2 linked regions of the Yarrowia lipolytica genome follow. The protein of the gene in region 1 binds, or shares a complex with, the protein of each later gene. Links are inferred from orthologs where the notes say so. Each region holds a gene or a part of one and is shown on either strand. Other genes may lie near its edges.

Evidence for each region. The genes of interacting proteins can lie anywhere in the genome.
Region 2: YALI1_C29148g (region 1) and YALI1_E13823g share a complex: the UniProt entries of both Saccharomyces cerevisiae proteins name them as parts of the mitochondrial large ribosomal subunit. The link is inferred for Yarrowia lipolytica from reciprocal best matches to the Saccharomyces cerevisiae genes MRPL32 and MRPL51.

What each region holds. Positions count from the first base shown.
Region 1 is NC_090772.1:2,912,052-2,917,041, reverse strand, and holds YALI1_C29148g (mitochondrial 54S ribosomal protein bL32m), read right to left. Parts: upstream 2,219-4,990; coding exon 1,658-2,218; downstream 1-1,657. Other genes in the region: YALI1_C29158g (uncharacterized protein), read right to left, coding at 1-1,185; YALI1_C29141g (uncharacterized protein), read left to right, coding at 2,931-4,043. UniProt on the Saccharomyces cerevisiae protein: Component of the mitochondrial ribosome (mitoribosome), a dedicated translation machinery responsible for the synthesis of mitochondrial genome-encoded proteins, including at least some of the essential transmembrane subunits of the mitochondrial respiratory chain.
Region 2 is NC_090774.1:1,380,351-1,384,214, forward strand, and holds YALI1_E13823g (mitochondrial 54S ribosomal protein mL43), read left to right. Parts: upstream 1-1,947; coding exon 1,948-2,072; intron 2,073-2,262; coding exon 2,263-2,560; downstream 2,561-3,864. Other genes in the region: YALI1_E13808g (uncharacterized protein), read right to left, coding at 1-452; YALI1_E13818g (uncharacterized protein), read right to left, coding at 886-1,500; YALI1_E13848g (uncharacterized protein), read right to left, coding at 3,192-3,864. UniProt on the Saccharomyces cerevisiae protein: Component of the mitochondrial ribosome (mitoribosome), a dedicated translation machinery responsible for the synthesis of mitochondrial genome-encoded proteins, including at least some of the essential transmembrane subunits of the mitochondrial respiratory chain.

The DNA of each region.
Region 1 (4,990 bases):
GAATAAGTCCGGATTAGTCAACCACTTGGCATTCAATGTTCGAGACGAATGATTGTTAGCAGAATGCCCTCGCGAGTTTCCAAAGTCACGTGAACCTCCACTTCCCCCTCCCGCAGCTGATGTGTTTCCGCCTCGGTTTCCTCCTTCTCGAGAGTCCCGTTTCGCCCATCTTGTTCCTCCTCCTTGGGCAATCTCCGTAGATCCATCATGACTTCTCAGAGTCTTGACAGTCGCTTTTAGACACGTTTGAAGCTTGTTCATCTCAACTTCTGGCTCCTTGGAATTGAGCAAAATTGTAGGATCGGCAAAATACTTTTGTAAACCCCAAAACAGTGCATATGGCGAGTCAGACGGCTCCTGTGTATGTTCCTTGGAGGTGGCAGGAGTAGCAGTTTTCTCCTTCACCTTTTCCTTCATTTCATCCACGCCCATATCGACATCCTTGTCTTCATTTTCATTTTCATCTTCATCGTCATCGTCATTGTCATCTTCATCGTCATCTTCATCTTCATCTTCATCAACCTCCTTGTGCTCCTTGGCTCCCTCGTATCCTTCAAACACAGTGATGTTCTCCACATTGAACTCGCCCTTCTGATTCAAGCCAGATCGCTCACTCAGCGGGAAAGCACGTGACAGAAAAATAAGAATCTCGCCGGCAAAAACGGCATCACGTGACTTACTCACTCGTCGCAGCAGAGCATTGGCCAGTCGAATCAGGGTGGTGCCTGGTGCCTTGCGGCCACTAAGCCGTGTCACCGAGTTCGATGACGCCTGGTTTCGTGACACGTTCATCAGCTGTTCCTCACGTGATACCAGGTAGTGGGTCCAAAAGTGGCGGCACCAGTCGACTGTGTGAATGTCGAAAATGTCTTCGACCAGAGCAAGTGTCAAAGTTGATTCTAGAAGCGGCTTCTCGTCGGATGAAGTTGTTTGAGACTCATAGGTGATGCAGTCGAGTAGAGCAGCTAGAGATCGTCCTCTCTTGTCCTCTGGTTGTAGCATGATCTTCTCAAACATAACTTGTCGGAAGATGTTATCAAGGTTGTCGGTGGGGTTGGCGTCCATGTATTTTTCGCACCATTGTCGGAATCCGCTTTTTTCGATCGTTTTTGACTCTAGACGGGTGTAATCGGTCTTGTAGTGGCCACTGACCTTATCCAGGATCGTCACCAGCTTTTTTTCCATCGTGTTGTGGTTGCGTGTGTGTATGCAGGTTCTGATCAGGTTGGTGATGTTCTCTGGTGGTTGAACTTTGTTGTGGAGCGGTTTTAATATGGGAGTGATACGTGAAAAAAAAAAAAAAAAAAAAAAAAAAAGAAGAGAAAAGAACACGAGCAAACAAAAGCTGTTCAGATGAATGAGGTGTGTTTTTATTGTCGTATCTTTGCTATTATGATCCACAGATATTTTCGTACTGATAACTACACTACCCGCTGGGAAAAAGAGCTGAGTAATGGGACAGAGAGCAGTACGAGTAAAGTACAGTATCTACAGTAGGGTGGTTGTGTTTGCGGTACATTGTTTGTCACAGACGTCCCCAGGTTAACTCCTTCAATGTCATCCAGTGATCACACACTCTCAAATTGTCCCCTACACCCTCTCCCCCACACCCTCAATTATCGAGTTCATCGTTTAACTATATACATATGGGTTTTCATTAGTCTCTCGACTTGTCCTTCTTCTTGTACACCTGAGACCGGGGATACTTGAGCACATAGGAGGCGGTATCCTTGAGCTTGTCGTAATGAGGTCGGTCAATCTTGTTCTTGTAGATAAAGGCCTCGTCGTGAGCAGGCAGAGTGGGAGGCTGCTTCTTGTCCACCAGCGACTCAGCGTCTCGAGTCTTCTTGGCAAAGAAGGATCGCAGCTCGTAGAAGCAGTGCATACACAGAGTGTGCATTCGCTTGACATGTCCACAGGCAGGACATCGGTTGAGGTTAGTCAAGGGCTTGAGGGCCTTTGTGTCAGCGAGGAATCGCTTTCGTTTTTGGCCGTACGACACCTTCTTTTTGGGCACGGCGTACACAATGCCGTGGTCGCAGTCCTCATGCTTATGCTGTTCCAGATCCACCTCTCGGCTGGGGGTCTCCAGATCCAGATCATGCTGGGCTCCTCCGAAAAGACCTCCCAGAAGACCGGGGGCAAGAGTGACGCTCACGGCCACGGGAATCTGGGCGCTGAGAGCAGCCACAAACGGCTTGGTCAGTTGTAGAGCCATTTTGGATCGTGTGTGTTGTGTGATGATCTCAGACTCGAGGTGGTGAATATGGTTGGGAGGATTTTTCAGAGTCACGTGATGGGAACACTGTGGTTACTGGGTTAGGGTTTAAATTTGGAGGACGAAGAGAATGGAGAATATATGTCGATGAGCCGATTCTCGTGATATATAACGCTTGTTTGTTGTCGTTGAGAAGTAGATGATCTCAAGAATCTATTGGTCATCAGTAAGAGACCATAATAAAATAAAAATAGTCGCTCAACCGCAAGTTCGCGTCTGAAAGGCCTCCAGGGACACAAAAACAAGATCAAAAAAGGTGAGATCCCTATATAAACCCCATTTTTATCACCTGGGGACTTTAGGTCGTTCATTACACTTATTTCTGGTTGTATTACTGTGTCTTGTCTTGAGATTAGCTACGACCTCGTCAGTCGCAACAAACAAGACTGATTCTCGCCAATTGCTTAATAATATAAATTGAAATCATTCCTAATCTCATAAACATCACGTGATCGAGTCATTGATCAAATATTATCCTCAGCCCCCTCCAAATCACCCATGTCTGGCACATTTGGCTAATCTCACACATTCCCTCCCGTTACCCGGCCTCCAACTTGAAAATTAAAGTTCAGGGGAAACGCGACACGCATTACATACACCCTATTGTACGTATCACCAACACACATCTGTACCACCACACAACCACTCATAAATGATGTCCACCGAAACCATCACGCCCGGCAGCAAGGTCGGGTTCGACTCCATCACCCAGCAGATTGAGCGACGGCTTCTGAAGCGAGGGTTCCAGTTCAACCTGATGGTTGTGGGCCAGTCTGGTCTCGGAAAGACCACGCTCATCAACACTCTGTTTGCGTCGCAGTTGGCATCTTCTTCTGGACGAACTGAGGCCGGCGAACCCATCACTAAGACCCCCGACATCAAGTGCGTCAGTCATGTGGTTGAGGAGAACGGCGTGCGTCTCAAGCTCAACATCATCGATACCCCTGGTTACGGTGACCAGGTCAACAACGAAAAGTGCTGGGACCCCATCACCAAGTACATCAAGGACCAGCACAGCCAGTACCTTCGAAAGGAGCTGACTGCGCAGCGAGAGAAGCATCTTCCCGACACCCGGGTGCATTGTGTGCTCTTCTTCATCCAGCCCACCGGCCACGGTCTCAAGCCCATCGACATAGTCGTGCTCAAAAAGCTGACTGAGATTGCCAACGTGGTGCCCGTCATCGCCAAGAGCGACTCGCTAACCCTGGCCGAACGACAGGCCTTCAAGGAGACCGTGCAGATGGAATTTGCCCACCACAGACTCAAGCTGTACCCTCTGGACTCGGCCGACTACGACGAGGACGAACAGTATCAAAACGCACAGATCAAGCAGTTTATCCCCTTTGCTGTGGTTGGCTCCGACAAGAACGTTGTTGTGAAGGGCAAGACTGTGCGAGGACGAAAGACCCGGTGGGGTGTTGTTAACGTGGAGGACGAGACTCACTGCGAGTTCCCCTACCTGCGAAACTTCCTCATTTGCTCCCATCTGCAGGATCTCATTGAGACTACCGCCCATGTGCACTACGAGGCGTTCCGATCCAAGCAGCTTCTTGCTCTGAAGGAGAACACCAGCAGTGGTCAGAGTGCTGGCATTTCGCCCGCTGGTGTCCCCAAGCCTCAGCCCCAGCCCCAGCCCCATTCCCAGCATCCCTTTGCTTCCACCGCCGGTGTGCCTGGCAGTGCAGGATCCGCAGGTCCTAACACCAATGGTATCCAGCAGCCCGTTGGGGCTCCCCCAGTGCCCAGTGGCTACTACAAGCGGTAGGACGAATCATGATGTGTGGTAATGTAATATTTTAGGTAGCTTGTTTGCTAATAGTGAATTTATTTGGTGTTATGGAGAGGCCGTTAAGTAGGTGGCGGAAGAGGGTGGATATGCAACATTGAATACGAGGATGGCGAGGGTTACTGGATCGATTGACAGGTGGATCGACATTCTAGACACGATACACGCGTGACTGGAGGAGATATGGTGTATTAGTGATGACAGTTCTCATCCGTACAAGTACCGGTACATGAGTCACTGGGCATTGGAACATCTGTACCCAGTGCAGTACAGTATGTAGACAAATCTTCCACTGATTGGGTAAGATGGGTAGGTTACTCATGAATCGAACTTGCAACGATGGTTCAAGCTCAATCGACGTCCATATTGGTAGCATGGTCCATTGCGTGATCTTTTATGTCTTGGATCTCGACCAGGAAGTTACTGCAAGTACGGTGCGAGTCCCGTCTAAACGGTGAACCGGCGCATAACACCAGCACATATTGAGACATGTTTTGAGGTGAGTGGTAGATATTTCGGTCTTGTTTGAACCAGCTTGGAATCCCTAGTATATTGATTCCGTTGTTGGTTTCGGCTATCATATAAATATTGTGACTATGATGCTCTTGTTCAGTCCGTCAGTCAAGAGGTTAGGCACCAGTCAATCAGAAGGGGTGTGTTGTATGGTAGTTGCATATCCGATGTAGCACACAGCAGATGTCAGGTTTGAGGGACATGTTGGACATGCCACATTGGCCACATCATTCCACCTTTCCAGAAGGTGTGCAAAATGCTCATATTTCTTTTTCTCGTATTTCAAACGTCTGATCAGCTCGTCCAGCATAATGCTGCATGAACCTACAAGGGGCCGAGGCCGGGAGAGCATAGTCTGTAGAGAAGAGCGGCGATCGAGGGGGGAAGGTGCTATGCGGGCGATTGTGGTTTTG
Region 2 (3,864 bases), on another chromosome or scaffold:
ACAATACGTACGTGTTTGACAGGCCCAAACTTGATGTAATGTTCCTCCAGGTCGTTTTCAGTCACGTCGAACGCCAGACGCGCCACAAATAGCGTCTTGAACGGATCGCCCACAATCTTGTCGTCCTTCTTGGGATCCCATGCCTCTTTTCGTTCCTGCTGGGTCACCTTTTGGCGCTCACTTTTTAGCCGCTTCTCTCGCTGCTGTTTGACCAGCCACGACTCGGTCGGCACGTATTCCGAATCGGGCTGCTTCAACAGCTCCATATACGCCGAAACGCCTGAGATTTTCTGCGTTCTTCGGTCCTCAGGAGCATAGTCGATCGGCTCCAGGTACCGTGGCTCGGGACACTCGGGGAAGAGCCGCTGGATGTGAGGGGGTAGCCGTTCCAATTCAGCCTGGGTTAGCCTTGTTGTTGATTGCAGAGCAAATGTCGCGCAGATACTCACCATGATTATGGATGCTGTTAGTGTGTGTAGTGATGTTGATGGTCGTGATGTTGGTTTGAAATATTAGTGTTGTGCATCAGAAGTTTATCTGACATCGTGAGTAGGGTGAAGTGAGATGGGATTGAAGAGAGTTATACAAGAAAGGTAGAGAAGAAGTAAATACAAGGGGAAAGCGAACAGAATATCGTCGCTAGTTTGTTTTTCTAGGTTTTTTTTTGGATATATTCTTCTGAAGAAGACTTTTCAAGACGTGATCGAGTTTTTCAGACCTACAGTGTGCCCCAGGAAGAATCAGCGAGCTACAAGGCTGTTTGCAATAACAAGTACACTGTACTTGTACTATACTGACCATCCGCTCATACTACCGTCTCCACCCTCCCCTTGATACACAAATAAATACTTTACTATATACATTGCTGCTCTTTTGTCCTTCTAATCACAGGTCAGGAGGAAAGAGAGCAGCAGCAACAAGACCGGGACGCTCGGTGGCCAGAAGATCAAAGTTCTTGGCTCCGTTGGCACTGTCAGAGATCTCGACGGAGATTCCCAGAGAGTTGAGATAGTTTCGGGTCTTGGGCGACAGCACTCGCGACTTCTTTCCCAGGCCGAAGATGAGCAGCTCAGGACGAGGGTAGACAACCTCAAAGACACCCAGTGCAGCAGGATCGATTTCAACCAGACCGGTATCGAGACCCTTGACGCACTCGGGAGTAAGGTTCCAGGCCAGCACCTCAGAAAGGCCCATCAGAATGGCTCCAACGGGCTTCTTTCCGCTGGGAGACTTGCTCTTGAGCACCTTGTCGTCCTTGAACACAAAGCCGTTGGAAAGCACGGCCTCCACGTTGTTGTGGGCCGTCTCAAGATCGCCGTAGAGATCGTATTCGGCCAGAGCTCCTCCAGGACGAGCAGCCGTGTTTTCGAGCTTTCGCTTGGTTCGCTCCATGGGTCCCTCGCCCTTGAACCACGGGTTTTCGAGCTTGACGTTTTTCGCACACACCCGAGAGGTGTGGATCGAGCGGGACAAGATTCCGACGGCTCGTGTTCGCAGCATTGTTTTTGTCGTGAGAGCGAGTGAGTTGTGGTGTTCAAGACGACTTCAGCTTGGTCTTGATTCGCTCTGCATTGGAACCTTGTTGATGACTTCAGTGGCGGTAGTCGAAAGAGGCGGGAGAAGGCTAAGTAAACGTTTGACAATTAGCTAACTAATAAATGCCCCAACATTAGTAACTGTATTTGGCTTAGTTGAACTCTGAAGGGCAGATCAATACCCCCTCAAGCTCTTCTAATATTGGTAATTATTGTATGGAAGAATCCACACTGTCTCTATTGTTGTTTTTCTTCCATTTAAAATGCTCTCCTTCATATTAATTGTCTCTCATTACCAAGAATTACTCCTCCCCCCCTTCGGGCCTCCACAGTTACCCTACCTTTGCAAAATTACAGGAGCCTAAACGCAACGCACAGATCAATCTGAAATATCTACATTCAACACACAAAAATGTCGGCTCGACCAGCTTACCAGACTGTTGCCCGAAACCTCAACGGTGTCGGCAACTTTGTGCTTCAGTGCAAGAAGGTCACTTTCCGGTACTGCAACTGGGGTGGCTCTTCCGACGGAATGAGGTGAGTATCACAACGGGGAACTGAACTGTGACTTGGACACGGACATAGATGGAGGTACAGACATGCCAGTGGCACAAGTGGGGTGCTAGATGAAGAGCAGAATGCTACCCAGTGCGTGTGGTGTGACGTGTCATCTTTGTTTGGTCTTTGAATTCAGACATCCACCGCGTCTCAGATCACACTAACACAGACAATACCTGGACAAGAACCTGCAGAAGATTGCTGCTCAGAACCCCGAGATCGAGTTTGTGGCTGTCAAGGACATTGGCCACCCCTTCATCCGAGGCGAGTTTGTCAACGGTGCCGAGAAGACCATCTGCTGCAAGAACAAGCATCCCCGATTCATCAACGGCAAGTTTGAGATGCTCAAGAGCTCCGACGGAGCTCCCCGAAAGCAGATGAAGAGCCCCGTTGAAAGTATAAACGAGAGTGTCCGAGGTATCTGGTCTCCTTACCATACCGACCCCAAGGCACGACACAAGATTTAAATGTACATAGTAAATTATAGCATAGCGAAAGATGGTGAAAGAGCGAAGGACAATGGCCGATACGAATCGCCATAGTAGAGGTATGGAGCGAATGGTGGTGTGCAAGTGGCTTTTATACCATAACGGTTGTGACACAGTAGAAGCTCGTTTGTTGAATTGTGCGGCACTCCGACGATCTCTAACTACGATATATCGTGGAGCGCAAGTGAGAAGTACTTGTACGAGGCAAACAAGCGGTTGTACTACAAGTGTTCGTACGAGTACAGTACTCATAAGTACAGAACTTGTACCAACTTGTATGAAGTCACTCAATTACTATAGGGATGAACAGAAACACAACTACTGGAAGCAAAAGGGAGTGAAAGGAAACAGAACAGAAAACAGAAACAGAAACAGAAACAGAAACAGAAACAGAAACAGAAACAGGAAACAGAAACAGAAGCAACCTGAATGTTGTCAAAAGGATACTTGTAGTAGATTCAGCAAGGTGCAAGGTAACATCAACCTCGGCTACAGTAAACTTGGGAACTTGATTGAAGCTGTGTACATCACACAGTCTGGAATAACTTATTTCTATGCGTGCCTTTCCTCCGTCTATTTTACATGCCCAAAGTGGCTGCTCTCTTGTATCTTATGCTTTGTGTTGGGGGTCGAGCTGGTCTATGTCAGCCTCTCTATCATGACAGAAGGGATGCTCGAGTGCCTGTTCTGGGGTCATTCGCTTTTCGGGGTTGAGTGCAAAGAGCTTGTCTAATAGATCGATCAGATGGCCCTGTAGGATGATATCTGATCCGGTCTCTCTGCATTTGCCCAGCAGCTTTTTGACAGGCAGAGGAGCCTGGTTTTGTGTGTATCGTAGTGTATGTGTGATCATTCGTCCAGTATGGGGGTCCACTTCGTCGGACTTGAAGTCGAGGTTCTCGTCAAAGTACTTTTCCGTCAGCTTGCCTTTTTTAAGCTGCTTGTGGCTAAACTTGCCTCGCACGTCCATGATACACTTGATCATGTGGTTGTTGGACGAGCCTGCAAACAGAATACATCCGGTGTACAGCTCGTAGAGAGTGCATCCAGCGGACCACATGTCGACTCCGTAGTCAAAGGGCGCGCCCAGAATGAGCTCGGGGGCCCGGTAGAACCGCGATGCAAGGTACGGCATGGGTTCCGTCCACGCCTTTTGGTCCTTGTTGGCCTCCACGGCCGAACCAAAGTCACACAGGCGAGTGGACGACCGTTTGGCGTTGACCAGCACATTATCTGGCTTGAAGTCGCCATGCAAGATTTGGCATTCACGCAGAATTTGCAGA